7 linked regions of the Mus musculus genome follow. The protein of the gene in region 1 interacts with the protein of each later gene in a pairwise test. Links are inferred from orthologs where the notes say so. Each region holds a gene or a part of one and is shown in the gene's direction. Other genes may lie near its edges.

Region 1 (4,214 bases):
ATGCCATATATAGATATATATATATAATTTTTAAAAAGCAAATGCAGACCACCAGGCCCAAATCCAGAATCAGTATCTGCACCTCCTCACGACCCTGGGATAATTCTTTAGTATGGCTCAAGTATGGCCGGCTCAATGAAGCAGGCAATTCCTGACCCAAGGCCCCATTACTGCGAACACCCACCCTTGTTTGCTTTAGGAAACCGCTTACTGGAAATGCAAAGAGAAGGATAAGAAGGGTGACAAGGGAAGTAGTAATAGAGACAGCATCAGAAACAGTGATAGGGAGAAGCTGGGGGCGGGGAGGACTCAACCCAGGAGAAAGGCAGTTCTAGACCTTTGCCTCCATAAACGCGGAGGAAGAAGCAAAGATCAGTCTACAATCAAAACCTAGCCAGGGTCAGGAACTGTCCGTCAAATCTAGTATTACCCGCCCCTCGGCGGCCTCGGCCAAGCTAGGCCTGAGCCAGGGCATCTCTGAGGTCGGCGTGTGATGCGAAGTACCAGTCTCCCCAGGGTTAGACAGCTCCTTCAGGCGTTTCTCCATTTTTCGCCCAAAGTCCCATTTCAGAGACACACATCGTTCTTCCCTGGCTCACCTGGCTCGGAGCAACCTCAACCGCCAGCGCCTTCGCCGCCGCCACCTTCCCAGTCCTTCTGCAGAGAGCCCGCCTTCTTGGGTCCAAACAGTACTGCCATTGGTCAGACTGCCCGTCACTACCGCAGGATGACCGATCTGGGGGAGGCTGTGACGAACGCCATGGCAACTGAACCCGGAACTACATCTCCCAGCATGCTGCTTCCCGTAGAGAGACGAGTCGCCGCCCCAGGGACCACCAATAAATGGGAGAAGTTGGGCGTTGCCAAGATGGGTTCCGTTTTATGCAAATTAGAGTAAAAGGCCACACCCTTCCTCATTCCAACCGTAACCCCTACCATCTTTCTTCAGTCTTTGTGTCTTTCGCCTTTCGTGCCCACGCTCTTTCTGCAAAACCTTCAATTTAGTTGAATGTATCCTAGCTACTGTCGCGCATAGAAAAGAGCAAAGCGCCAAATCGTGAAACAAAATCTCCGCACGCATAGAGCAGAAACCTCTAGTTACGCCTTCAAGGGACGAGACAAGGATGGGAGGGGAAAAAAGTGTGTGTGTGTGGGGGGGTGCTATCCAAACTACTTCATTGGTGTATCTCGTTGTCACTCTGTACACCTCTATTTCCTTTGGCTCCTTTCTTCTTTTTTGCCCACCTAGTGGGCGGAGTCATAGGAGAGAGCGAAGGCGTGGTCTCCGCCGTCCGATTGGCAGGCGGTTATCCCCGCCCATCTATGGGTGGGGCGGAGGGCAGGCTGTGGGCGGAGGGGCGGCGGCGGAGGGAGATGAGGAGTTAGGCGGGAGTGAGGGAGCGAAGGAGCGAAGGAGGGCGAGAGGAGTGGAGCGGCGCGGGGAGGGCGCGCAGCTTGGTTGCTCCGTAGTACGGCGGCTCGCAAGGGAGCATCCCGAGCGGGCTCCGGGACGGCCGGGAGGCAGGCAGGCGGGCGGGCGGGGATGGTGTGCGCGGCTGCGGACTCGGCGTTCCTCCGCGCGGCGTGCGGGCTGCACTGATTTGTGTGAGGGGCGGCCGCGCGCACCCGCCCGGAGATGAGGTGAGGAGCTGACGCGGGCGGCCTGGCGCGCGGGCGGGGGTCGGCGATGGCCGCCCCGGGGTCGGGTCCAGCGGCCGGGCGCGCGTCCCTGCGGCCGCCGTCGCCGCTCCGCCCGGTCTTTCTCATCCTCCCCGGGGGCAGCGGGGCGGGCGGGCCGCGGCGGTGGCGGCCGCGGGACGGGTTCGGGCTGAATGGGCGTCCGCAGCCACGGCCGGCGCTCCCGTGGGGGGCATCGCGGCGGGCGGTCCTTCCACCGCTGACCCCTCTGCCCTCGGCCGCCGGAGGGTGGCGGGCCGACCCGGCCTCCCGGGGATCCCGAGCTCGCGGGAGCCGCATCGCGCCGCCCGCGGGTGCCCCCGGCCTCGAGTCCCCGGCTCATCCTTTTTCTCTAGCGCCTGCTTGGAATACCCTGTCAAGTGAAGGGCGGTCAATGCCGTTTGGGCCGAAGTGGTGCGGCCGGGGCTGGCTCTGATGGCATTTAACAGAAAGCGGCTACCCTTGCAGCGGGCGTGCGTCCCCTTCTCGGCCGCTTCGCCCTCCTTGCGCACGCACTGACTCGGGTGTCTGCTGTGGACCCAGTGCATAATTGCGGTCCCTTCTTGGGGGTGGGGGGGGGCACCAGAAAATGCAATCCGGATTCCCAGAAAGAAAAAAAAGAAAAGAAAGAAAGAAAAGCAAGGAGGAGCTGGCTGGATCTCCCTTCACTTCTGTTTGCCTTTGCTTTGGAAGACAACTTCGCTGATCCTCTTGCCTATGAGCAGTCTTCTATTGTTGTGATTCAGACTACAGGCTTTGCTTTTGAAGGAATAGATTAGTGGCTTCTTGCTGCAGCTTGAGGGTGTAGAGGTATTTGGTAGCATCTTGAATGTGAAAGTTTGCGACTTTGCCCTCATCACTGCTTTTCGGAAAACAGAAGCAACCTGGAAATGTAAATGCATGCAGACTCTGGCCAGATGCGGTTCTTTTGTGTTTATCGGTTGGTATCTTTCTCTTGGTACTTCGTGGTCGGAAACACGGAGGATAAAAAAGAAAAAAAGAGTCTGATAAATAGCATAGATAGTGAAAGCATGGGAACAAATGCCCGTGGAAAATATCAGTTCTATTTTCAGGGAGGCCGGTTTACTAATCCCGCTGAATTGATGAAGAGAAAGGCTTGCTCATGGATTATGTAGTGGACAGGATGTGAGGGCAGGAGCTGGGGCCAGGAGCCCGCAGGCCAGCTGCTTGGCAGGGTGTTTCTCTAAATGCTCCAAACTAGAGGAATGTATTTATTTGTTGGGATACTTTTATTTTTAGAAGATGTTAACGGTGAAGAGTGCAGACGTTTCAGCAACCATTATGGTTACCATTTTTGTTACTTTTTTTTTTTTACACTAGTTTGCTTGAAATATTTTGTATGTGTGTGTGAGTTCCCTTATAACTTAAGAAGTTTTTAAAAAGCAACGTCTTTCTGTAGGAGATATGTAAAGAACTCAGGAAATTATAAAGGATTTAAATTAAGAAGTGAAGGCCACTGATTTGGTGACAGGGCATAGATATTTCTATACACTTTTAAGTGGCTGCAGTAAGGCACCTCTCAGAGAGTATGTGTTTAAAAAAAAAGTGTCTGTCATTGAAATTGCTGAGGATTGTGGTACCGCCACAAAACTATTATTATTCTGCCTGAGTAAGAGAGGAAATGAACACATTTTAATGTACTTTGGAACCCTGTGGATTGTTCAGATGCTGAGCATTGTGAAATAGGGCATAAAATGAGTAGCGGCAAGTTAGTTCCCTGAAATGTTTGTTCCTCAGCATTTTCTTTCTTTGAATCTCTCTCTTTCTCTCTCTCTCTTTCTTTCTTTCTTTTTAATTTTTAAAAAAAGATTTATTTATTTATATGAGTACACTGTAGCTGTTCTGATGGCTGTGAGCCACCGTGTGGTTGCTGGGATTTGAACTCAGGACCTTTGGAAGAGCAGTCAGTGCTCTAACTGCTAAGCCATCTCTCCAGCCCACATCCATCCTTCCTTCCTTCCTTTTTTCCTTTCTTTCTTTCTTTCTTTTGCTGTTGACTAGCAGTTTCTTTTTCCTCTGGGCATTCTTTATCTTTTCCCCAAATAACCTAGATTGAGATACACCCTTAAAACACTTGCAAGAGCTTAAAAGGGAGGCCCTGGTAAATTCCTCTGCCTGTGCTTTTTCTCTTTTGGTGATTGAGCCAAGCCTTGGAGCATGCTAGAGTGTAGCCTAGCACCTAGCTACATCTGCAGCCTCACGTTGTCTTTGTGTGTGGTACTGCTGGCATTAGATCCTGGGGCCTTGTGCTACAGTCTCTAGACTCTCATCCTTTTAATTTGCTCAACCTGTGACTTAAAGAAAATTAATTAATGGAGGTTGGGTTTATGTCAGACTTCTCTTTTTAGTGACTCCCTCCTGAATGGCTCCACTTACTGGCTCCATCTAAGTCTGGCATTCAGATATCTTTACATCAGCTTACCAGGTTTCTGTCTCTCCAGCTCAGTCAGACAATGGGAAGTAGTCAGTATTGTCAATACAGTTTCCAGGAATTTCTCCAAGCCAGAGAGAGAACT
Region 2 (4,347 bases), on another chromosome or scaffold:
CCTCTGGAGCTGCAATTGCAGGTAGCAGTGAGCTACTCAGGATAGATGCTGTGAAACTGAACTCTGATCCTCTGCAAGAATGCTATGTGCTCTGAACTGTTGGGCCAGCTTTCCAGCCCCTGTTTTAAGACAGTTTATGTTATATATTCAGAGGTATGCCTAGTTATCCTCGGGAGTGAGTCAGGTAGACCTGAGAGTGTTTATGGCAGGCTGGCCAATTCAACTGTATTTACTACGGAGTGCCTCCTGAGGAGGAGAGGCGTTCCATTCGTTTTAGCTGACCACTTCAGATCGATCGCAGGCCATCACTGAGGGGAGTCAAGGCAGGAACCTAAGGCAGGCCTGCTTGCTATAGCACACAGCATTAACCTCCAATGGAGAGCTCACTTCACTGCCAATCAGGTATAGCAGGAACCACAGAGGACGCTGTTTGCCAGCTGGCTCGTAGATGGGCTTCAGCTCACTTAGCTTTCTTGGATAGTTCGAAACCTAGGTAATGGTGCCGCCCACAGTGGGCTGGGCCTTCGAAGGCCAGTTAACTGTCCAGACCTTTCTTACAGACGCGATACGGGCCAATCTGATCTAGGTAATCATGGACTAAAGCTCTCTGCTCACAGGACCCTAGGCTATGTCACACTGACAGGTAAAGCAAACTAGGATACCAACACAGTGCCTTTTTCAACCCTGTTACCCTACCCACTGCACTAAATCCTGACTCTGCTCATGTCTTTATCAACTTCAGCCGCATCCGCCCGTGCTTACCCGAAGGTTCCTGGTAAGAGGCAACTGCTCTGGCCCACCTTTCCAGCACCTGGTCTTTTTTCTAGGGCCACAGGCTCCTCCCTTCCAGCACGCACTCTCCCAGGCTTCTTCCCACTGCCCCATGCTCCACCCACAGTCAGGTCTCCGGCTGACTCCATGCAGTTCAGTTTTGTAGGTTTATTTTTGCCTCGGGGTCCAGAGGCGAGGTTATGACGGGCCTAACCCCTGACTGGCACTTCCTGTACCCACTGTCCTGTAGCAGGTGCTTTGCTGAAGCAGCCAAAGGGAAGGGATGGGGGAGGTGAGCCAGCTGCCAGGAGCTTGGCACAAGCCAAGGCTTGTGCCGTGCTCCTGGCCAGCCCCGTGCTGCCAGAGATTCGATTCTCAAGTCATTTTTAACAGCTGCTCCCACCCCCCCCGACCTGTCATCTGTCACTTTCCTTCGGCTTCACCGCGACTTGGTAGGAAGAAGTCCCTCTCTTGACCACCCCGCCTTTTACTCCCAGGGTCTGGGAAGCGCCCAGTCTTTCGGTCCCTGGCCACACTGCCCCATCACACTTCCCCTCCTTGGTTTCCTCCAAGTGAAAAGCAAAACTTTCTGCGCTGCGGTCTGGGAGCCGCGAGGGGCGGCGCGCGCGCGCTAGCGAGGGGCCGAGGCTGGAGAGGAAGCGGCGGTCCTGGGCAGGAGGAAGAAGCCAGCCCTCGGCTCGGCCCCCTGCCCGTTTCCCGCCGCCTCCGCGGCCGCCGCTACCACCATCACCACCACAGTCACCGCCGTCCGGGGCGCAGCCGGCCGCACGATGCAGGGCGGGGGTCCCCGGGGCGCTCCGATCCACAGTCCGAGCCACGGCGCAGGTAGGGCCCGGGGTTCTGGAGGAGGGCGAACGAGGCCTGCCGAGATCCGGGCGCACCCTGATGCAGGGGAGGGAAATCGAGGCAGTGAGCGGGGAGTGCAGGGTGCGGGCGGTCGTGTCCCCAGCTCCCACTGCAGCTCCCGTCCAAGCGCGTCCCCGTCCCGAGAGTCCGGCCGCCCTGAGGCGCAGTCGGCGAAGGGCGCGCCCGCACTCCTTCCTTGCGAGGTCCCGGTGGCCGCGAAGGTTTCCGCAGCGCCCAAGTGCAGCTCGATCCCAGGACTCCCTCGGGTGGCCGGCGCAGACGCTGCGGGGACGCGGGGCGAGGTTGAGAGAGGTGTGGGAACTGCAGCCCGCACCTCCCGTGGGGCTGCTCGCCGCCCACTTCCGAGTGTGGACTGTGACGCGCAGGGCAGCGCAGGCTGAGGGGACCCGCTCCATTTCCTCTGTCAGCTTGGGCCACGTACCAACCCCGGTGATGACATCGAGTTAAGTGGGTGGCCGCTTTTCAACCTCAGCAACTCACTGTCAGAAACCCCAAGAAAAGAACGTGATGGCACACGCCTCTTTTCCTAGCACTCGAGAGACAGGAAGACTGTGGAGACTTTCTAATACAATCTGGGCTACAATAGTGAGACTCTATCTCAAAAACCAAAATCAAATCAGAACAATGAAAAATAAAACAAGCACGGAGATCTGCTCCAGACTGGGCTTTGCAGTTTGGGCGTGTGCTGTGCCAAGGAGAGAAGGCAAAGGACTTAGGAGCTTCTTTTGGCTCTTGGAGCCTCAGTTTACCCATCTGTGAAAGGAGCACTAATCACTAGCTTCCCTACCTCCTTAACTGGCTTCTATGAAGACATTTTTGCAATTGGGAGTTGGAAAATACAGGGTTGGTAGGTGGGTGTAGGGTAAGAGTCTTCTGCACCCGCATCCTGGACTCGGGAATGCCTTAGTTTTTCAATTTGTAAAATGGAGCTGATTTTCCTGCCTACGTGGTAGATTTTAAAAGGGGTTTAATGTGGTAGGAGGACATGAAACCCCTGGCCAAATCTCTGCGATACAAAGCAAATTCTCAAAAATCTCTTAGTTGCCCAGGCTAGCCTTAAATCTGCTGCCTAGCCCAGGCTGGCCTCCAATTTGCTAGCCTTTGCCTCCCAAGTGCTGGGATTACAGGTGTGCTCCACTACGCACGGGTCCTTAAGTATTATTTTGACCATGCAAGACCTAAATAATCGTGGGCAATACAGGAATGCCAGTGTGACATGTTAGTGTCTGAGTTACAGGGTATTTGAAAAGACATTTGGCACCTGACATGGAGACCGTTGAGGTTTAGCCAGGATTCTGCCCACAGCAAATAGAGCCCTGGATGAGAAACCTGCTTTCTGAGCTGTCTCTCCAAGTCTCGGGCTTTCTCTTCTGTTTATAAGAAAGAGAAAGCACCTGGGCTGTAATTATTACCTTAGCCCTGAGAGTGCTGCCCTGGGATGGAGAGCAGAACATCTGGAACTGGGGCAGGTGACAGCCTACAGGCGACAGGTGCCACTTTGCAGAGAGTGCATGGGCCAGGCACTTGGTCCTGCCCTTTGATGAGGTCCCCCTCACACCGGTGAGGGGCTGGTGCTACCATCCTCATCTTCCCTTGGATGTGGCAAGGGTTGGAGTCACCTGCCTGTGGCCCTGGTGGTTAAACAGGGACTGGGGCTCAAAGTCAGATGCAGGTGTCTCCAATTACAGGCTGAAGGGAAGGTGTCAGGTGGAGCCCAGGCTGAGCGTGGACCTTTGCCTGGTCAAAGGTAATACCTGGTCTTCTGTTTCTGCCGTTTATACCTATCTTCATCTATCTATCTATCTATCTATCTATCTATCTATCTATCTATCTATCTATCTATCTATCTATCATCTATCTATCTATCTATCTATCTATCTTCTATCTATCAATCATCTATCTGTATATCTTCTGTCTCTATCATCTATCTTCAGCATCTATCAATCATCTATTACCTATCTATCATTTATCCATCAATCTGTCTGTCTATCTTCTATCAATTATCTACCTACCTATCTATCAATCATCTATCTATCTATCTATCTATGTATCTGTCTATGTATCTATCTATCTATCTATCATCTATCTATCTATCTATCATCTATCTATCATCTATCTATCATCTATCTATCTATCTATCTATCTATCATCTATCTATCTATCATCTACCTACCTATCTATCAATCATCTATCTGTATATCTTCTGTCTCTATCACCTATCTTCAGCATCTATCTATCAATCATTTATTACCTATCTATCATTTATCTATCAATCTGTCTATCTATCTTCTATCAATTATCTACCTACCTATCTATCAATCTATCAATCATCTATCTATCTATTTATCTATCTATCATCTATCCATCAACCTATCTGTCTGTCTATCTATCATCTATCAATTATCTACCTACCTACCTATCTATCAATCATCTATCTATCTATCTATCTATCATCTATCTATCTATCTATCTATCTTCTATCTATCAATCATCTATCTGTATATCTTCTGTCTCTATCATCTATCTTCAGCATCTATCAATCATCTATTACCTATCTATCATTTATCCATCAATCTGTCTGTCTATCTTCTATCAATTATCTACCTACCTATCTATCAATCATCTATCTATCTATCTATCTATGTATCTATCTATGTATCTATCTATCTATCATCTATCTATCTATCT
Region 3 (3,995 bases), on another chromosome or scaffold:
TTTGGTTTTTTTTCGAGACAGACCAAGTTCACACTTTATGAAGATTTCGTTTTAAATGCTTACCTTTAAGGGGAAAGGATGGGGAGGAGTCTTAAGGAATGGGGATGTAGAAGGGAAATATAATAGCTATTTCTGGTTATCAGCTATATCTAGAACAAACCACAATCCAGAATTGGAAGGTTCACCTGTGATCCAGATCTTGAGGCTGGGAAATACAAGTTTCTGACCTTGATCTTGGCATGGAAATCTTGAGGCATAGTGGCTATGTATCCCCAGGAGAGTAAGGTAAGATCTCTGAGTACAAGGCCCAGATCCAGGCGTGGCGGTACACACCTTTAATCTGAACCACACCTTCTTCTGGAGATCTATAAGACATTGGAAGATGGAAGTTTTTCTCTTCCTCCTCTGCTTGCATTTACTTGCCAGCCCATCAGTTGGAATCTACTAGCCTGGTGGGACTGAGCAACTCCTAGATCCTTGGACTTCCCATTCACAGCTGACCATTGTTGGGGAGGTGGACTACAGACCGTAAGTCATCATAACAAAGTCCCTTTCTATATAGAGACTATCCACAAGTTCTGTGACTCTAGAGAACCCTCAAAGGAAGACTTCAGATAAATCTAGAGTGTGCAATGACATCATAAAGGAGTTTGGGTTGATGCAAAGTTCATTTGAAGTGTTATGTAATAACTTCTCCTCTGGAAAATCGACAAATGTACCGTTTCTCTTTTAAAATATACATTTTCGTGTAGATTTATGAGTCTCCCCTAGGAACTATTTGTTCAGTTCATCACATGCTGTAGGTTTAGAGGGCTGATGTTTGCTGAGCACCTTAGACTCGGTGCCCAGTGTTATTACCTAACTTGTTTTCTATGGAAGCATTCCTGAAAAACAGCATCCATTTACACACGACAACTAACACAGATCCAATGGCCGACACAGAAGCGTACGCATACCGCTACCTAGTGTGTCCCCAGAGAGAAGCAGTTGCGGAAATGCGTCAGAATTCTGAGAACAATTGGCCAATCAAATAGCAGCTTCCTTACTTTTTATTTCTATTGGGTTATATTAGTGTCAATCTACAATACTCTGGAATGAGGCGGGTCTCTTGGCCTATAGTTATCCAATCGGATAGTGAATGAGAGCGGAAGTACCTCTGGCTCTGAAGTTGTTGTATTCGCTCTATGGGCCCAGTGCCTGGCAACGCGGTGAGATCGCGGCCAGCGGGAACAGGAAGTGACGTGAGCTGGCGGAGGGGCGCGAGGTTTCAAGATGGCGGTTCCCGGGTGGTTGACCGAGGGGCAGAGGTGAAGGCCCCTTCGCAGAGAGTCCTCCGGGACCGCCCGCTAGCTGCTCTCGCCGTCCCGGGAGCCTCGCAGTCGTGTGAGTGCGTGGGGACTCGGTGCTCCGTTTTCCGCGACCCTCCCCGGGGCCTGCGAAGCCTTCTCTGAAACACCAGGCCCAGAGGCCGCGCTCTTCCTCCGCTGGGCCCGGGGTGGCGGGAGCCTCGGGTTTCAGGGCTCGGGGCCGGCCTGGCACTGCGTCCGACGGGTTCTCGGGCGGGATCTCCCGCCGGGTCAGACCCACCGCCCGAGTGCGGCGACCGGTGGCGGCGGGCTGACGTCTAGCCGCTCGAGTCGCTATCAACCGTCGCTATGGTTTCGGCAGTTGCTGTGAGGCCTCCTGGAGTGGACCCGGACCGGACCGGACCGGTCGGGTTGCGTTTGTGCTGCCTGGGTTCCCATGGTCTTTTGACCTTGTCTCTGCCAACGTTTGCAGGCAGAGGCACTATGGTCTTGTAAAAATTCTCCTTGACTCGTAGCTGATTGGTTTTTAGGTGTGTGTGATGGGATGGCGTCAAAACGAGAGCCCGAGGCTGGTTTAAGAAGGGAAACACTAAAGAAAAGATCAAAAATAGAATTTGTTGTATCCGTGCCTTTTTGTAGTTCCCTATAGTCAGTACCCTTCTCTTCCCTTCTTCCCAAACTCCTGCCCCTTCTGCTTTCTGATAGAGAAACATCTGTAATGACATAATCGACACCGATCAGTTCTGAAATATCTGGGAAGCAGCAGGGAGCCGGCCAGCTGAACGCTTGATGAAAAAAAGCATTAACTAAAACAACTTACAGAGTCCCACCTAAGGAGCCAAGGGAATTAGAGTCTCAAATTTACCTCGGGATCTTCCCTTTCCTAATGTAGAAAGAAAGTAGATTTGTTTAATGCTTAAAGGGGGAGCCACAGGAGATGTAGCCTGTAGGAAAGTGTCGCACACTTTGAACAGGAAATATTTGTTCCTTTTTTTACTATGGGCAAGGCTAATTTTTGGAAGTTTCATTCATTTGGAATGGAAGAGAAAGAAGTGATAATAATGAAAGCCTGGCCTTAAAATATTTCCCTACCGTGACTACCACTTTTAATTCCCTCAAAATACATAAATCAGGAGTCATATGTGCTAGTAAGAATATACTTTAATGTTAAGTTTGAGGAGTTCTAATACTTCATTTTTTATTTCTTTTGTTTGAGAGTCATAAATCATTTGATTTGGTATTAAATCAAGATAAATATGTTTGAATGGATTGCATTTTGCCATCTGGCGTGTGGAATGAGCAGTCTAAGGAGAAAGTAAAGAGCATGTATTTGTCTTTAACCCAGATTCATTATCTCCACTCCTGTTTCATATCCCCTTATACAGGTCGGAAAGATGTCCTCAGGGTTTGCATTGCATTGTTAGAATATTTCTCAATTGGTTTTGGTTTGTTTTGAGATCGTCTCATATGGCTCAGTCTATATTCCAAACAATAGCATTATAAGTGCAAAGTTCTTGTTGATTTCTTTATTCAGTTAACAGCACTATATAATCCATAGGAAAGGGTTAAACTTTTGAGTAGTTAATGATATTCTCACTGTGTTGACTAGTACAGATACTAGCCTTTTCTTTGTGGTCAAGAAAGGTAAAGAAAGCCGGGCGTGGTGGCGCACGCCTTTAATCCCAGCACTTGGGAGGCAGAGGCAGGCGGATTTCTGAGTTCGAGGCCAGCCTGGTCTACAGAGTGAGTTCCAGGACAGCCAGGGCTAGCTATACAGAGAAACCCTGTCTCGAAAAAAAAAAAAAAAAAAAAAAAAAAGAAAGGTAAAGAAATAATTTCTTGGATGCTTCATTCAAAATTAAAGAGCACGGTCTTACAAGTAGAGAACCAAAGGGATATTTCTTTACAGAAATTGATGCAAATTCGTAAAAGGAAGTCTTTTTACACATACAGCAAAACTGAGTTCTTTATATCTTTTCTTTCCAGTTTTTTTTTTTTTTAATGAAGAAGTAAATCATATAAATTGTCACCATGGGACGAAGATCAACATCCTCCACCAAGAGTGGGAAGTTTATGAACCCCACAGACCAAGCCCGTAAGTACGGAAGGAAGAAGTAGAAGGGTTAAAACTGGCAGACTCTTTCATGGTGGCCTAAGTTCAGCGTTGGTAGAGTGGGGTGTGTGAGGTCATGTAGAATTCTTAAAATGGACTCATGGTTAGAATGTTGAGAGTGTAAGCTGCTTAACACATTTCTCCTCATACTTGACTGGCTAGCAGGAGAAAATTAAGTCTTTTTTATGTTAGAATTTTTAACAAATGAGTTTTTAAGTGTGTGATTTGAGAATCCCTTTTCTTCCTTGTGGTTCAGTTATTTTTCTGTAAAGAACACATCTTGGCATTTTGGGTTGAGAGGGTTGGAAGCACTAAGTTCCCTAGTGGGTCAAAGCCATGTTTGTTCCATTCACCGACACTGTTAACAGTTGTAGTAGCTCATAGTAATGTTGGTGATGGAAGTGTGAGTTATGGCCTCTCTTCCTCTCTCCTTAGGAAAGGAAGCCCGAAAAAGAGAACTGAAAAAGGTACGAATTTAGAAACATTCTGTGAATTGTTCTAACATTTGTGAAATTTCAAATTATATTGCCAGGAAAGACGCTTTATGCTATACTGCTGATGAAAGCCAGAAAATT
Region 4 (3,547 bases), on another chromosome or scaffold:
AAGAGATGGCTTTGAAACACAGAAAAAGTGGGGGAAAGTAGTATATAATCTTGTTGTCTTAGAATAAAAACTGCGAAATGAGACCGAAGGATGTATGTTGTTCTTGGACTCAATAGCATGTGGTTTCTACTATGCAAAGAACCTAGAAACATCTTTGATTGCCTTAAATTACAACACACCCACCAAAATATGCTCTATATGTTTCTATTGGGCACAACAGGTATGCCTGGATTTTAAGTTTTGTTCCAAGGCAGGTCAGTGAAATGTAGCCCATGGAGACCACACTAGTTCCAAACCACTCTCCCTTGTGATAACCCAGAATAGTTTAAAGTAGGAATCTGTTTGCACACTACCCTGCCCTTTGGCCCAACCAAGAAGCTACTGAACTGCGTTTCAAATCCTCACGAAGGCTATTACTGTCCTGCTAGTGCCTATTTCGAGAATGGTCAACTTCTGGAGTAGTTTGGCTTAAATGAGAATGCTTCACTTTCTACTCATGCCTGTAGCTGGTGCATGAAGAAGACACAGGGTGGGGTGGGGTGGGGTTCCTCTTTGGTGCTAGATGGCTTGTTCTCTCTTCTATTTTCCTGCATTCATTTCACAATGCTTCTTTTACTTTTTGTCTCTGTGGACAAAGGTTTGTACATCAACCCTGGATGTATGGTGACTGTTTGGAAGTACCGATATATTATCAATTTCAAACCACTCTAGAAGCAACCCAAAGACCATCACCCTTGGCCAACCACCAATCCTTTGTGTCTTTCATGAAACATTGAAATGTAGTACACACATGCATTGAGGGAAAGATATTAAGCAAAGATCACTGCATGATGGTGTGTTTAAACGTCAAGTATGTTTTTCTTCATGACTCCGTGTTACTGTGGTGTGATGTACACCCTCTACTTGGCAGTGTTGTCTTGTGTCTGTCTGCCAGTATGTTTTTCTGTGTTTTGTGTCTCAAAATATAATCATGTCACTGAAATAGAACTGAATGTTCACCAGCTATCTTAAGCCTCATCTTAAATCCAATTAAAGCACAAAACAAACCAAAGATTAGTCTTGACCATTGAAATTGGCTCAATTAGCTGGGCGGTGGTGGCGCACGCCTTTAGTCCCAGCACTTGGGAGGCAGAGACAGGCAGATTTCTGAGTTCAAGGCCAGCCTGGTCTACAAAGTGAGTGCCAGGACAGCCAGGGCTACACAGAGAAACCCTGTCTCGAAAAACCAAAAAAAAAAAAAAACCCCAAAAAAATTGGCTTAATTAAAAATAAAATGCTGAATAGCTGAGGTGTGGTGGTGGCCAACTGTTTGGGTCCAGATTATGATATATCGGTATTCTCTAATGCCTCAACTTAAAACTCATTTGCTTGGTTCGGTTCTTCGCTTAAAGAAGTGATCATTTCTGTGAGCTTGCTCCTCCACCCTGGGCTTTGTCACTCACCCAATTTTTTGCATAGGCTTAAATCCAGTGATGCTTACAAAAAAGCCTGGGGCAATAATCAGGATGGAGTAGTGGCCAGCCAGCCTGCCCGTGTGGTGGATGAACGGGAGCAGATGGCCATCAGTGGTGGCTTCATCCGCAGGTGAGTTTTTTGCAGTACTCTGTTGATGGATAACCAGCACTGAACTATTTTCTTTTCTTTTACTTGCAAGGAATTTTTGGGCTCCCTCATTGGGCTATGATTAGATTATGATAGCTTGTCATTCATTATCTTGTCTGGTCTTTGGCTGGGCTATCAGTAGAGACACTTCCATCCACCTGCATGAGGTCTTCCAGCAAAGAGCTCAGGTTTCTTCATGGTAATGATAGTGTTCCAAGCAGGCAAAATCCAAGACATGATTTCCTTCTGAGCTATGGCATGGGCACAGTTTGCCATGGTGCAAAGCATGACCACATCCAGAATCAGAGTTGGTATGGAATGACATCACTTGACCTGAGTTTATTTTAGCAGAGGCCTGGTAAACAGCAAGAGTAATGTAGCATTTATAGTCTAGGAGTACCAGAAAGCTGTTACCACTCCTTTCTCAGGAGATAGGCCAAGAACAAAAGGGTTTTATGGTAGGGAAATACAGTCATAGCTAGAGTTGACTAGAACAAGAAAGAGAAGCAAATGCCCTAAACCCTGCTTTCATGACCTCCAGTCTCTCTCAGGCCACTATTCAAAGCCCACTGGAAGCCAGAGCAAACAAGGAGCCAGTAGTACAGTAATAAAGGTCAGCTTCTCAGGGCACAGAGCAGGGGAAGTCAAAGACCTGATTTAGAGTAGGAAAAGGAGGAAAAAGTGGAATACACATTAACCACTTCTTTTGAGATCTAGAAGCATAAATAAATAAATAAATAAATAAATAAATAAATACCTATTTTAAAAGCTCAAATTATATGTCAGCCAATATCTTGGCCTGAGGAAAGGAAACCACTAAGCAGAAAAACAGCCAAATATTTTCTATGACAAAGGAAAGATTAAAGTTATTATATTTTTGGGCATGCTCCCCCCAATTCATTCCATACAACCACCAGTTTGTTTTAACCAGAAAAGCGTAATTTTGTCAAAGAAAGTGTAAGCCTTATCAATTAAAACAGTTTAGACTTATTACATATCAACAAACAGTTCTCAACCTGTGAGTTATAACTGCTTTAGCAAACCTCTGTCTCCAGAAATAATTACAGTACAATTGAAAACAGTAGCAAAATTGTACTTATGATGTAGCAACAAAAATAATTTTCTATTACATGAGAATCTGCATTAAAGGATTGCAGCATGAAGCAGGCTGAGAATCAATGATATACACTGTTATACCAGAACTCAGCATAGGTGAAGATATTTGTCTTCCTAATTATTTATCTCTAAGTTATTGTAGTTATTGGCCAATCAATTATGCTGGTATTCAAATGTGAGCCATAAGTCATAGGGTCTAGATATGCCTTACAAATGACAATTCTAATTTTGCCTCCATCTGCTTACAAGGAAACTCAATTAATAATTTGTAAGCCAGTGGTTGTAAAAGTATGGACTATGGGAGATCCGAAGAAAGAAAGAAAGAAAGAAAGAAAGAAAGAAAGAAAGAAAGAAAGAAAGAAAGAAAGGAAGGAAGGAAGGAAGGAAGGAAGGAAGGAAGGAAGGAAGGAAGGAAGGAAGGAAGGAAGGAAGGAAGGGGGAAGCAGGGAAAAATGCAAGAAGGAAAGACAGAGGGACACGCGCCAATATTTAATCCACAGCAATTCAATCCAAATATCTTGACAACTGACACAAGCATCTCTGATTTGTACAGCTCTGGTGTTCCACTGTGCTTTAGGGATGGAAGTAGTTGTGGTACAGAAACTTGTTCATGGTTGATGATCACTCAAATGAAATGTAAATGATAGGAGGTTTTCTCTTAATCTTTAAATTTGCTCTGTCTCAGGCTGATATATATCTTAGTGGAGCCAAGCATAGTGGCATAGGACTCTAATCCCAGCACTCATCAGGTCTGAGTTCTCAAAGTCAGCTTGGGCTATATATGGAGACAAGGTTGCAAGCAAAACAAAACAAACAATAGACAAAAGTT
Region 5 (3,547 bases), on another chromosome or scaffold:
AAAGAATTTTTAACAAAACATCACTGCCCCTGCTTCCTTCCCTTCTTTACCTAGATCCACTTGCCAAAAGGATGGCTTTTAACTCTTTTGTATTAGATTATTTTGATACTTCCATATCCATAAATAATTTTGTTATTATTTATTGATTTCTTAGTTATAGATTTTTATCTTTTCAGCATACCCCCTGCCCCCCAAGCATTTTGGGGTGCTCATTGGTTTTACTTTTTAAGACAGAGTCTTACTATATAGCCCAGGCTAGCCCTAAACTCACATTCCCTGGGCCTCAGTCTCCCAAATGTGGGATTCCAGACATGAGCCTCTACGCCTGGCTTTTATTTTGTTTTCTTTTCTGTACATAGCTTTTGGTTAATATGTGTTCTTAGGTATTGTATTTTGTTTTGATTTTCATTTTTTTTTGATGCTACCTATTTATTTATTATTTTATATATTTATTGTTCAAGGCGGCAGCATGAGCCAAGGTCCATATGTGGAGGTCAGAGGACAGTTTGTAGGAATTGATTCTCTCCTTCCACCATGAGGCTCCTGGAGATCAGTCTCAGGTCATTAGGCCTGGTGGCTAGTGCGTTTATCTGATGATCCATCTGGCTGGCCCTAATACAGTACCACTTATTGATTGCTTTTTAGACTTAATAGACTTTCCCAGAGTCTAGATTGGACCTCATACCTCTGTCCCCTTTAGATGACTAAATCTGGAGGCTTGTGACAGTCAAAAGTTTTAGATGATGTTGTGTGGTTCCTTTTGAATTGTGACAAGAGGCACACAATTTAATGACCTGTAATAGTTCAGAGGGATAATTGTTCAGACTTGCCATTAAGTTTTGGGAACTTTTCTCACAATCCTATCCTTAAAAAAAAAAAAAAATCACAGTATCAAGAAATCTATTTTATCAGTTTGTAGTATATATTCAATTAATAAAAGATGAATGGGAGCCAGATGTGGTGGCACATGCCTTTAATCCCAGCACTTGGGAGCAAGAGGCAGGCAGATCTCAGAGTTCAAAGTCAGCCTGGTTGGTCTACAGAGAAAGTTCTAGGGCAGCCAGGACTTTACAGAAAAGCCCTGTCTAGAGCCGGGTGTGGTGGCGCACGCCTTTAATCCCAGCACTTGGGAGGCAGAGGCAGGCAGATTTTTGAGTTCGAGGCCAGCCTGGTCTACAAAGTGAGTTCTAGGACAGCCAGGGCTAAATAGAGAAACCCTGTCTTAAAAAAAAAAAAAAAGAAAGAAAGAAAAGAAAAGAAAAAGAAAAGCCCTGTCTAAAAACAACAACAACAACAAAAAACAAAAAACAATAAACAAAATCTCTTAGAATATTTTGAGCCATAGATAAATGAAAAAAAAATTGTAAGTCCAAACAAAATTCCTAGGTTTAGATACACGCTGTGCTGGAGGCCAGAGAGATGGCTCAATGGTTAAGAGTATTTGCTGATCTGTCATGAGAACCAGAGCCCAGTTTTCAGAAACCACATCAGAGAGAGAGAGAGAGAGAGAGAGAGAGAGAGAGAGCACGCACACATACACACCCCCTACCTACTTCCTAGAGAGAGAGGGAGAGAGGGAAGGAAGAAAAGGAGAGGGAAGGAAAGGAGAGGGGAGGGTGGGAGGAAGGGAGAGGCCAGTAAAGAAACACCAAAAACACCCTATTCAGTGTCTGTTCACTTAAGAATTCCAGTAAGGATCCCCAGTGTTGATGTGTTCTTCAGTTACCTTCCTTTCCTTCTACTCTCCTGGCTTTTGTTTGTTTGGTTTTCTTAATGTTTTCCCCATTGTCCAGGTTACTGTTCACTCGTTTAACAGAGTTATGTGGAAGATAGAGATCGCTTGCTCAGTGCAGAGCTCTTGACTAGCCAGTGGGAGGCCCGAGGTTTGCTCCTAGCAAAACACACAAAACCAAACCCAAAACTGTTTTCAATGTGTTTGCTAATGAATAAAATCTGGTATATTCCTAGAATTGTTAATGCTGATATACATTGTATCATTTAGCCTCTAGTAGCTTTAGCAGAGTCAGTGCCTGTCTGACTCAGGCAGTGTACTTGTATGTTTCCTTTTCTGTGTTGAGATAGTGTTATTGGATTAACTTAAGTGTTGATGTTTCTTTCCCTAGCAATCAGCAGAACGCTGTGTAAGCACACTGCTTGATCTAATCCAGACCAAAGTAAATTATGTGGTCCAAGAGGCAATTGTTGTCATCAGGGACATCTTCCGAAAATACCCCAACAAGTATGTCAAAATTCATGTAATCTTCTTTCTCAGATCATTTGGGAAACGTATAAGTAAGGCACTTTGAAATTGACTCGGTAAGAATTATTATTCCATATATAACTGGTCATAGTAGATTTTTTTTTAATGAAGTCAGAGATACATAGTGGGTATCAAACAGACACTAAAACTTCTCGTTTAAATATGGGAATGGAGTTTTAAGTTGGCCCCATGTGCTGGGATTACAGGCATGAGCCACCATAGCAGCTGTTCATTATTTTTGTAGAAATGAGGCTTAGCTTAAGTATATACTTGGCATAGACTACATCAAACACATAAGATTGTTTGTTGTGTCAGAGTTACCATTACACAGGAAGCCTATTTATCCCTAGGTGTCTTGATACACTCGCTCCATGCAGACCAATGATTGTGTCCTTCCTCCTCTCAGAATAACTTTTCCAGCCGCCATGCTGTTTGCTCAGCATGGGGCCCCACTGCCTTGTGGGAGCAGCAGAGTGCATTCAATAAGTTACTCCCCTGGCCTCTGCTGACACACTGGGGCTGCTCCCACAGGGATCATTTACATCACAAAGTTTTTACTGGGGCTCTTAGTTCATAAAACAAAATACTTTGATTCTGAGACCTGCAGTCCAGAATTAGTGCAGGATTTGGGTTTTTGTGAGATTTTTTTTTTGTTTTGTCTTGAGAAGTGTTATTTTTAGAAAGAGGACCACCACCTTTTACTCAACTCCCTCCAAAAGTGAAGGATCAAGTTTCTAAACTGTTTTGTTACAGGTTAAGGAAAAAAAAAAGATCAATAGAGAAATGTGTAAAACTTGTGTAAATAAGGGGTTATGACAGTTTAATTTCAAGAAAATAGTCAGAGTCTGGTTTAATAAGTAGGAATAGGGCAGATACTTGGCCTAGTATACTAGTTATCCACATTAATATATTCTGTTTCAGTCTAATGTTGAAAATCACATTAGCCAGCTAGATCTGATGGCATGGGCCTATAATCTCAGCTATTCAGGAGGCCAAGACAGGACATGGACAAGCTCAAGCCAACCCTTGCAACCTAGCAAGACCCTGCTTTAAACAAGAGGAGAGCAGTAGGCTGAGAATACTGCTCATAGGAAAGAGTTTGCCTGGTATGTGTTGGATCCTAGGTTCAGTCTTCAGTAATAAAAATAAAATTTTAAGTTATGTTAGTAAAGGACGTATAGATTCAGCAAGGTGAATACGTAGTTATAAGAAAGGTTGATTTTTAAACACAAGATAATGGTATTTTCTTATACCACAGGTTAATTTATTCCCTCGTGAACATGTCTG
Region 6 (4,316 bases), on another chromosome or scaffold:
CAAACCCTACATCTCTGTTCTCATCAAAGAACCAAATGAGCCCCACACTAGTGGGTGGAAGCCATGTTCCCCTGGGAACAGGAAGGAGAGGGTGTTGATCAATCACGGAAGCCATTCCCTTATTTCATGATGTAGTGTTTATGGTGTAGTGTTTACATGTAACGTACATGCATTGTCCTCCGTAGCTTACAATGTCTGGCAGAGCATAAAGACTGTAAATATCTGCCACTCAGCACTGTTTCTCTATTAAAGACAAGAAGAAAGAAACTGTACCTATGTAGTTTTGGATTGTCCGTTAAGTGACTCTGTAGACGTGGCATGCTTAGACACAGAGGGCTGGCTTTACCTAAATTCTCATGACAAGTTACCACATACTGTCTCAATCGCCAAGTGATACATAAAGCAACAGTTCGTATTTAGAGAGAACATTTTTATTCTTATGATTCATTGTAAAGAAATGGGACTTTTAAAAGTGATAAAAACAAGTCTAGAAAGCTGGCTCAGCCATTAAGAGCATGCCTTGCTCCCCTAGCCTCTCCTGAGATCTGCTGACTGAGGGAACGGCCCAGCTTTAGTGCCTACTTTGCTCCAACCTTAGTCTCAGGAATAAGAGAGCCAACTTAAGTTGCAAAAGCACTCCACGCTCTTAAGATCACATCGAGACCTTAAGACTACCCTACAGGAGGAGATTCTAGCAGGCTGTGTAGAGATAAAGGCTCATCAGTATATGACATTTGATTACTCACAGCCATGGATCCATATAGCTAGGACAAAGCAAGAGAGGGAAATAATGTTTGCAGCCTGGCTGAACATCAAAAAGCCATGGGAATGTTCCACAGGCGGGTTCCTAAACATCTGTGGCAGAAGCAAACAGACTTTCCCCCAGAATACTTATGGATCTTGATGCCAAGCCAGGAGTGTGAAGGAGTAATGCAGGGAAGATAGTGGAGAACTGACTGCTGAGGCCCTGAACTTCAGCGGAAAGCGTTGAGGGCTTGATCGCTGTGGCCTGGCATGAGGACTGGGCATCCTGCGGGAGCTACTGCATAAGATGGATACCAAGAAACCAAAGATCCTTGCGTACCTGGAAGGTGGGACGGGAAGAAAAGAGAACACAAACAGAGCCCAGTGATTTTTAAATCCCTGAGGACTAGATGTTCACTACCCACACTCCAGGGTGCCCAGTAAATTTGTTCAATAAATACTTAAATATGTGATATGAAATCTGGAAAACGGGGGGTGGAATGGGAAAGTAGGGTTTTACCCAAACAAAATAAGCACATTTAAAAGGATGAAAATTTAGCAGGGAGCTGAGTTTACTTTGAGACTGTGGTAAAATGGCAAGATAAAACATGGTTCAAAGTGCACAAGGGAAGTGTGTGGAGGTGAGGCCTAGGCTTCTCAACGTCCGTTCTGGAAACATGGCTGACCTTTCATGTCGTATTTGCATATGACAAGCAGACTAAAGTATGAACTGTACTTCTGACAGGTTACATCTGCTCTGGGACTTGCTGAATGTCACCTGAAGGCCCCTGTGTCTGCTTCAGAGAGCTCCTGTTGAATGACAAAGCCGCTAAGAGCAGTAAGTCCAGGTGGGGAATCCGTGTGGGGAAAGCAGGGCCTGTGAGACCCACCATCCATCCTCCATTAAAACAGAAAAGTAGCAAAGTACAAGTCGTCCTCCCAGGATTCACAGTTAACTACAGGCCTCCACTGCATCTCACACACAGACACTACACACATACACACACACACACATACACACACATACACATACCACACATATATACACAAACACACAAACAAAAATACACACACACCACCTATACGCCACACACACACATATATACACACACACACAAACACACACAGCACACATACACATATGCAAAAACTAACACAAAAAAACACACACCACACATACACAAACGCCACACATATACAAACACACAAACAAAAGCACACACAGTACACAAACACACACACATACCTAACTCATGCACACACATACACATATATACTATACACAGACACACCATGTACACACGCATATACACACACCACACATATATATACATACACAGCACATATACAAAAACATACCACAAAATAAAAACAGTCCTATTTCTCTGGGCATTAATCTGACAGTATTAAAGATATGCTTCAGGTTTGGGGATGTAGCTCAGTAATAAAGTATTTGTCTGTCATATACAAGGCTCTGGGTATTGTGTCCAGCAGAAATTCTTCGTGGGTTTATTTATTAGTGTTGGAAAGAAAGCCAAAGAGCATTCACAGTCTGCTTATTATATAGTGTGACAGGAATTAGAAACAAAAAAAACAAAAACAAACAAACAAGAACTACTCTTTCTCGTGACACCTTTTCCGACTCTTGAAGATCCCCTTTTTGTTTGTTTGTTTGTTTGTTTTACTTAGTTTGCTGACCTTAACTGGTACAACAACTTGATAACATTGACATCTATGAGAAAAAGATGAGGTACATTCAGTACGGGGGAGAAAAGATGGGGAGAGGAAGGCCTTGGGGAATGGCACACTGTGTCCATATCTGTGCTTTGCCATTGTGTGCTGTGAAATATTTAGGGGGGCAGAAGAAGAAAAATTATTTTAGAGTATATAATAATATGTTAACAATGTATCTTAAAATATTAATACCATAGTAAAGAACTGAGTTTGGGTGACCTCCATTATTATGTTCATTCTTCAGGTATGAAAGAAACAGTATCTGAAACACAGAAAATACAGAAGGCTCATAAATACAAAGTTATTTGTTGTTCTGCTATCAGCGTGGTAACAAATTTACAGAGGGAGCGTCTACTTAGTTGTTATATCCCTATATATGAATTGTTTCTGATATGGCCTTATGTCACTAGTATGCCCTGCACACTGGAGTGTCAGTGGACTCCTCAGAAATTGTCTTGAATGCTCTATTTTGAATCATTGTTTCTTTGACTCTTGATAACCTTTGAACCATATTACCAAACCTTTGAGACTTCTCATTCGAGAAACTGGGGCATCATGGTCCTGGCATATATGTGAAAGAAGGAGCGAGGGAAAGGGGGAAAGGAGAGAGAGAGAGGTGGGGAGAAACTGTCAATGTTTCAGTGCACAAAATAAAGACAAATGCATTGGTAAGTTAATTGGCAGAACTGGTGGTTGTTTCCAGCATGCAGGTATGTTTCTTATCCTCCCTAGGGGAACGTCCTTCCTGCTGCCTGGACGGTGCGCCCTCGCCTTTCTTCTCTCCTACATCTTTCCTCCTATTAAATGGGCATGATTTGGAATTATTAGTTTGTCTTTCATGGAGATATTTTGCCCTAAATGTTACCTCTTTGAGATGTTCCCATCGATATTTTTTTTTTAATTCCTAACTATAGAACAAAAGCTGAGTTTTGTATAGAGTTGTGTTTCCATGCCATATATTGAGAGAGGATAACTGTAAAAGCCTTAAAAATAAATTAGTTTCAGATGTGAAGCTTCCTAAAAAACAATGAGCTCAAAACAAAGTGAGCTCCTCGGGTTCCCACCATCTGTCCTTTCGTCTCCCAATCTCAGCTGTTCGCTTCCCCATCCTCTACCCAAAAATGCAGAGGTGAGCTGGACCCAGGGCCATGTCTCTCTCTATTCTGTGGTCTCCACCAAGAGCACAGTCTCCAAGAACAACCCTAGGGACCTCTTACACCCACTTAAGAAGCTTTTATCCCAATACTGCTGCCACCAGTGCATTTTCCTCCTGGTTTAATATATTAGGACCATGCTTCCCTAGTGTCTGTGACTGCTAAAATCTTGTTGATGAAGAAGAAGGAGGAAGAGGGGGAGGAGGAAGGGGGAAGAGGAGGAAGGAAGAAGAGATGTGAGTCCCAGGCATCTCTTGGGCAGTAAGACGTTACATGTGTAACCAGTGCTAGCATCTGTGGCAACATCCAGGAGGGTTCTGTCAGCTAGCATCACAGTAACTAATACTCGCAATAAGCAATCTATTTTTAAGTCTATACATGTTTATTTTGGCTCGCAGTTTTAGAGCTTTTGGTTAATGGGAAGTTGTCCCATTAGGGAACGGGGTTTGTGCTGAGGAAACAGAACTGGAGAGTGGCACACAGCACTGCATCTCATGGCAAAGAAGAAAACTGAGAAAGATAAAAAGACAGTTTAAAAAAAACTAGCACAGACATTGCAAAAATAGCAGGGAAGAGCTGCTTAAAGACTAGAGAGTAGAAAGAGAGGAGGGGGCCAGTAGATGCCAACAGACGTAGACCAAACTGTGGAGGTTAGTACAGTGGCGCATCCAAGTATTGAGATGT
Region 7 (4,089 bases), on another chromosome or scaffold:
AAGAGAAGGACCCACAAGGAAAGACCTGACTCTCCTTCCTCCCCATGTGGTTGGCCTGGCCCCTTCATGCCCTGCAGAAGCCCAGAGATTCCCACAACCCTCTACAGGCAGTGATTTGCAGAGAGAGGGAGCTGTGGGGGTAGAAGGCTGGTTCTGGGGCTGCATGGGGGATTTCAAGTCTTTGTTTCAATCAGGAAGACCCGTCCCAAAACTTCCCAGTGTCTCTTTTGCTGTATTTGTAGGTTTTTGTTTTGTTTTGTTTTGTTTTGTTTTTGAGGTGGAGTTTCACTATATTGTCCTCCTGCCTCAGTTTCCTGGGACGCTAGACTAACAACAGGTATGCCACAGGCAAGCACCACTACCCCAGGCCTTTCTGGGGTAAGAAGGGTTTGTGCATGCTGTGGTGGAGGACATCCTGGACAGGGACCTACCACCCAGAGATGCCCCAGCCCATATAAGACCCTCTGAGTCTGGGAATTAGTTTTCTCCTTTCCCCTGGTCTCTGGGATGCAATCTAGGGTCTCTCACATTGCTAGGCAAGTGCTCTGTCATTGAGCTGCAATGCACTCCCTGCTGGTCACTTGGCTAGAGTTCACAGGACAGGGTGTTCCCTAAGGGCCTTTTCAGATCATTGGTTGGTGCTTCCACTGATTAATTCTGCAGAGACCTCCTACCGCATAAATGCTCTCACCTCCACAGAAGCAGCCCCTGGCCACAACTGCAAAGGGGGATCAACCGGTCCTCCCGAAGAAAGCAGCAGAGCCTGTAAATTGAGGCTACTAATTTGGAAGTTATGTCCTCCTGTGCAACTTGGCGCCGGTAGGAAGTATAAGTAACGAACACAGATGAGTTTAGGTAATTTCCTCCTCGACGTGTTGGTGTCCGAGGCGGATACAGCTAGGGCCACCTTACCCTTCGGGTTATACCCGTGACCTTGAGTATGTTTAACCAGCCGAGTGGCTGGACGCTGGCCCTGGCTAGTAAACCACGCCCGCGGCCTACGCACGCTTGTGAAACTTGAAACCCGAAACTGCCCTGCCCCGAGGAGAGGGGGCGGTACCTAAGGAGAGAGGGCGTGACTTGGGGGCGGAGTCATAGATAGGCAGAGCCTAGGTGCCGCGCTTGCGTAAACGCAAACTAAAGAGGTCCTCAAGGGGACGGGGCCTAGAGGGCGTTCACGCACGCGCGTTTTGGCTGTGGGCGGGACCTTGTGCCGGGGGCGGTGCCTCGGGCGGCGCGTGCGCAGGCGCGTGCTGGGCAGTGCGGGCGCGGTGCGGGGGGCGGGGCTCCGCGGCTCGGAGCTGGCCTGTGGCGAGCTGGTGTCTGGCAGGACGCGGGCTGCGGGAGGTCAGTGGCGGTCGCGGGCCGGAGCCGGTCGCCAGCACCATGGAGGACGATGACAGCTATGGTGAGTGGGGCCGGTCCGCTGCCCCTTCGTGAGCTTCCGCCTGCGCCGGTGTCCCTGGGACGGGACGCGGAGCGCCGGGTGGCGGCAGTGCGAGGGCCCGGGGGTGACTGCCCAGACGCTCGAGGGCCTGAGGGTCGCCGGGGCTGAGGGTCGCCTGGACCTTTGGGTCGCCGTGAACTGAGAGTCACCCGGGCCTGAGGGTCGCTGGGAACTGAGTGTCACTCGAGCCTGAGGGTTGCCGGGGCTGTGGGTCACCCAGGCCTGGAGGGTCACGGCAGGGGTCGCCCGAACCTGAGGGCGCCGACGGAGACGGGTGTAAAACCGGGAATTGCTTTCGGGCTCCAGGACCGAGGTTACTCGGGCCTGGGGGTCGCTGGGGCTGAGGTTTGCGAGTCTAGGGGCCCCGGAAGGGGAGTCGCCGGGGTTAGAGGGTCTCCGCGGCGGGGGTTAACCGGAGCGCTGAGGGTCATGAGGATGCTGAGGAGCCCCGGGGTGCCGAGGGGAGTCAGGGCCAGGTGACCGGGGTCGTAGTCTTTAAGACGAGTCGCCTGCTGCTTGTCACCGGGGTGGCAGACGCCGCGAGCGGCCGCGGGACTAACACGCCCGGCCGGCCTGTGTTCCCTAGTAGTTTCCGGCTCTCAGGGGTGTTAGAAGTTATGTGCCCCATCCAGCTCTTTGTTCTGAGATGAACACAAGTGGCCTGACCGGGGCCTCTGAGCCGGGGACGTCGGTCAGGTTCGTGCTACCGTCGCATTGTGAATTAGCTCCTGGTCCCCTGGTCTGTCAGTCAGGGCCTGACCACACCGGGCAAGGGGATCAAGTTTGAGCTGTTGCCTGAAGGTAGCCGGGTAATGACACCAGTCCACATCCTCCACCAGGGCAGAAGCGATTTAGACTCTCCTGGCTAACCTTGCTGCTTGTTGGCGAACAGCCAGGGCTCTGGTCCCTCCGAGGGTGTGCAGTCTCTGGAGTTGTAGAAGGTTATTTGAAATGCTTTACGTGGTTGTTAGCATTGTTTCCAGGAGGAATGGAAGAAGGAATGGCAGGTAGGGCGAGTGGTGACCTTTTACTGGTTTGGCAGGGAAGTATGGCTCAGGAACTTAACAAGCTTATACGGCTTAGTGGAGCCAAACTCCGGTGTGTTGCCTCACAGGTAACTTTGCCTCCTCACACTCTGGTGAGGAATATTAAAGTACCAAGAGGGAAGAGTGTTAGGGCTTTGCAGGGGAGCCCTTAGAGAACCCTGACCCGGTGAAGCCATGAGGATTATGGCTAACAACTCCCAGAGCTTCAGATGTGTGAACACTGACTGTTTCCTTGAATGTTAGAGGTCTGTGCCTTCCTGTTCAGTGGAAGAAGCCGGCTTTTGCTACCTTCCAGGTAAACATGGTGTGTGCCTTCCTTTGTGATAGAAAAGCAGTCACCTGCAGGCAGGCCCCGAGGGATTGCTCGGCCCCCTTGGACCCTCAGGGTTTTTTTCTTCGGTTGGAAACCTTCACTGGCTTTCCCCACTGCTCTTTTCTCTCCCCCTTGTCCTTTGTTGTCCCCTGGGTGCCAGGGTTCTGCCAAGCTTTGTTCTTACCCTCCCCTGGTTATTGCCCGCTGGGTGAGGCAAGAGCTGCTGTTCTGGTTGGTTTAATAGTGACTTCTTTGACTCAGGCATGACTTGTACTAGGGAAGGAAAAATGGAAGGCTTTGGTTCCTGTTACTGCCAGGAATAGAGGGACTCAAACCCAAATTTACTCTGTAGATCTGGAGGTGAGAGTCCAAATTAGGTCACACTGGGCTGATACCAAGATTTTGTTAGGGTAGTGTTCCTGCCAGAGACTGGAGGGAAAAGTCGGCCTCCTTTCCTTTCCTAGCTCCAGAGGATGCTTCGCTTCCCTTGGAATCCATCCTTAAAGCCAGTGGATAGCATCTCTCCACTTTGTCTAATTGCTGCCCTTTCACAGGACACTTGTGTGTCACACCTACCTAGATAACTCAGGATAAGGATCGTAGTAGCCATCCACAAACCCAGCTTCCCTTTTGCCATGTGAGTAAACACTTTTAAAGACTTGAGGATTGTGATGTTCACATCTTTAACTTTTTAAAATTTTATTTATTTATTTATTTATTTATTTATTGCGCGTGGAGGTTATGAGACAGGAGTGGGTTCTCTGCTTCCACTCTGCCAGTCCTGGGATGAAACTTAGGTTGCTAGACTTAACACCAAGCGCTTTTGAACCCACTGGGACATCTCATCATCCCAGATGTGGGCATTCGTGCAAGCTTTCAAGAGAGCGGCATGGGAGGATGAAAAGGAAGCTCATTGCCCCCTTTATACACTTTTACGTCTTTTTACTTGGGAGGATCTAGAGGGGTTAAATACAAGAGAACTCCTCGAGTATCATATAGTATAAAATGGCCATGTGGAGACTGAGACCAGCTTTCCTTCTCTTTCTCCCTCTCTCCTTCCCTCTTTCCTTCTTTCCTTCCTTCCCTTCTTCTCCTTGTCTCCTCTCTTCTCCCCCTTCTCTTGATCTCCTCTTTCCATTTTGAGTTAGGGGAGCATCTCCCTATGATTCCATGGGTCTGGCCTCAAACTGGTAGGTTTAAGTGATCTTCCTGCCTCGGCCTTCTGAGTAGCTGGCACTGTGTTGATTCTGTGTCTGACTGAGCCTCCCAGTTTGAGTATCAGA

The links.
Region 2: the proteins of Itsn1 (region 1) and Disc1 interact in binary tests that used the Homo sapiens proteins (3 or more experiments, as listed by UniProt). The link is inferred for Mus musculus from reciprocal best matches to the Homo sapiens genes ITSN1 and DISC1.
Region 3: the proteins of Itsn1 (region 1) and Wbp11 interact in a two-hybrid assay, tested with the Homo sapiens proteins (2 studies listed by BioGRID and IntAct). The link is inferred for Mus musculus from reciprocal best matches to the Homo sapiens genes ITSN1 and WBP11.
Region 4: the proteins of Itsn1 (region 1) and Snap25 interact in a two-hybrid assay, tested with the Homo sapiens proteins (2 studies listed by BioGRID and IntAct). The link is inferred for Mus musculus from reciprocal best matches to the Homo sapiens genes ITSN1 and SNAP25.
Region 5: the proteins of Itsn1 (region 1) and Ap2b1 interact in binary tests that used the Homo sapiens proteins (3 or more experiments, as listed by UniProt). The link is inferred for Mus musculus from reciprocal best matches to the Homo sapiens genes ITSN1 and AP2B1.
Region 6: the proteins of Itsn1 (region 1) and Dlgap1 interact in a two-hybrid assay, tested with the Homo sapiens proteins (2 studies listed by BioGRID and IntAct). The link is inferred for Mus musculus from reciprocal best matches to the Homo sapiens genes ITSN1 and DLGAP1.
Region 7: the proteins of Itsn1 (region 1) and Cyth1 interact in a two-hybrid assay, tested with the Homo sapiens proteins (2 studies listed by BioGRID and IntAct). The link is inferred for Mus musculus from reciprocal best matches to the Homo sapiens genes ITSN1 and CYTH1.

The regions. Positions count from the first base shown.
Region 1 is NC_000082.6:91,727,959-91,732,172, forward strand, and holds the start of Itsn1 (intersectin-1), read left to right. Parts: upstream 1-1,412; 5' UTR 1,413-1,641; intron 1,642-1,649; exon of another isoform or gene 1,650-2,577; coding exon of another isoform or gene 2,578-2,617; intron 2,618-4,214. UniProt on the Homo sapiens protein: Adapter protein that provides a link between the endocytic membrane traffic and the actin assembly machinery. Acts as a guanine nucleotide exchange factor (GEF) for CDC42, and thereby stimulates actin nucleation mediated by WASL and the ARP2/3 complex.
Region 2 is NC_000074.6:125,052,668-125,057,014, forward strand, and holds the start of Disc1 (disrupted in schizophrenia 1 homolog), read left to right. Parts: upstream 1-1,527; 5' UTR 1,528-1,562; coding exon 1,563-1,617; intron 1,618-4,347. UniProt on the Homo sapiens protein: Involved in the regulation of multiple aspects of embryonic and adult neurogenesis. Required for neural progenitor proliferation in the ventrical/subventrical zone during embryonic brain development and in the adult dentate gyrus of the hippocampus.
Region 3 is NC_000072.6:136,825,408-136,829,402, reverse strand, and holds the start of Wbp11 (WW domain-binding protein 11), read left to right. Parts: upstream 1-1,186; 5' UTR 1,187-1,383; exon of another isoform or gene 1,384-1,837; intron 1,838-3,292; exon of another isoform or gene 3,293-3,293; 5' UTR 3,294-3,338; coding exon 3,339-3,402; intron 3,403-3,855; coding exon 3,856-3,887; intron 3,888-3,995. UniProt on the Homo sapiens protein: Activates pre-mRNA splicing. May inhibit PP1 phosphatase activity.
Region 4 is NC_000068.7:136,772,437-136,775,983, forward strand, and holds part of Snap25 (synaptosomal-associated protein 25), read left to right. Parts: intron 1-1,458; coding exon 1,459-1,584; intron 1,585-3,547.
Region 5 is NC_000077.6:83,337,190-83,340,736, forward strand, and holds part of Ap2b1 (AP-2 complex subunit beta), read left to right. Parts: intron 1-2,123; coding exon 2,124-2,239; intron 2,240-3,547. UniProt on the Homo sapiens protein: Component of the adaptor protein complex 2 (AP-2). Adaptor protein complexes function in protein transport via transport vesicles in different membrane traffic pathways.
Region 6 is NC_000083.6:70,423,307-70,427,622, forward strand, and holds the start of Dlgap1 (disks large-associated protein 1), read left to right. Parts: upstream 1-1,485; 5' UTR 1,486-1,582; exon of another isoform or gene 1,583-1,592; intron 1,593-4,316. UniProt on the Homo sapiens protein: Part of the postsynaptic scaffold in neuronal cells.
Region 7 is NC_000077.6:118,245,758-118,249,846, reverse strand, and holds the start of Cyth1 (cytohesin-1), read left to right. Parts: upstream 1-1,288; 5' UTR 1,289-1,386; coding exon 1,387-1,408; intron 1,409-4,089. UniProt on the Homo sapiens protein: Promotes guanine-nucleotide exchange on ARF1, ARF5 and ARF6. Promotes the activation of ARF factors through replacement of GDP with GTP.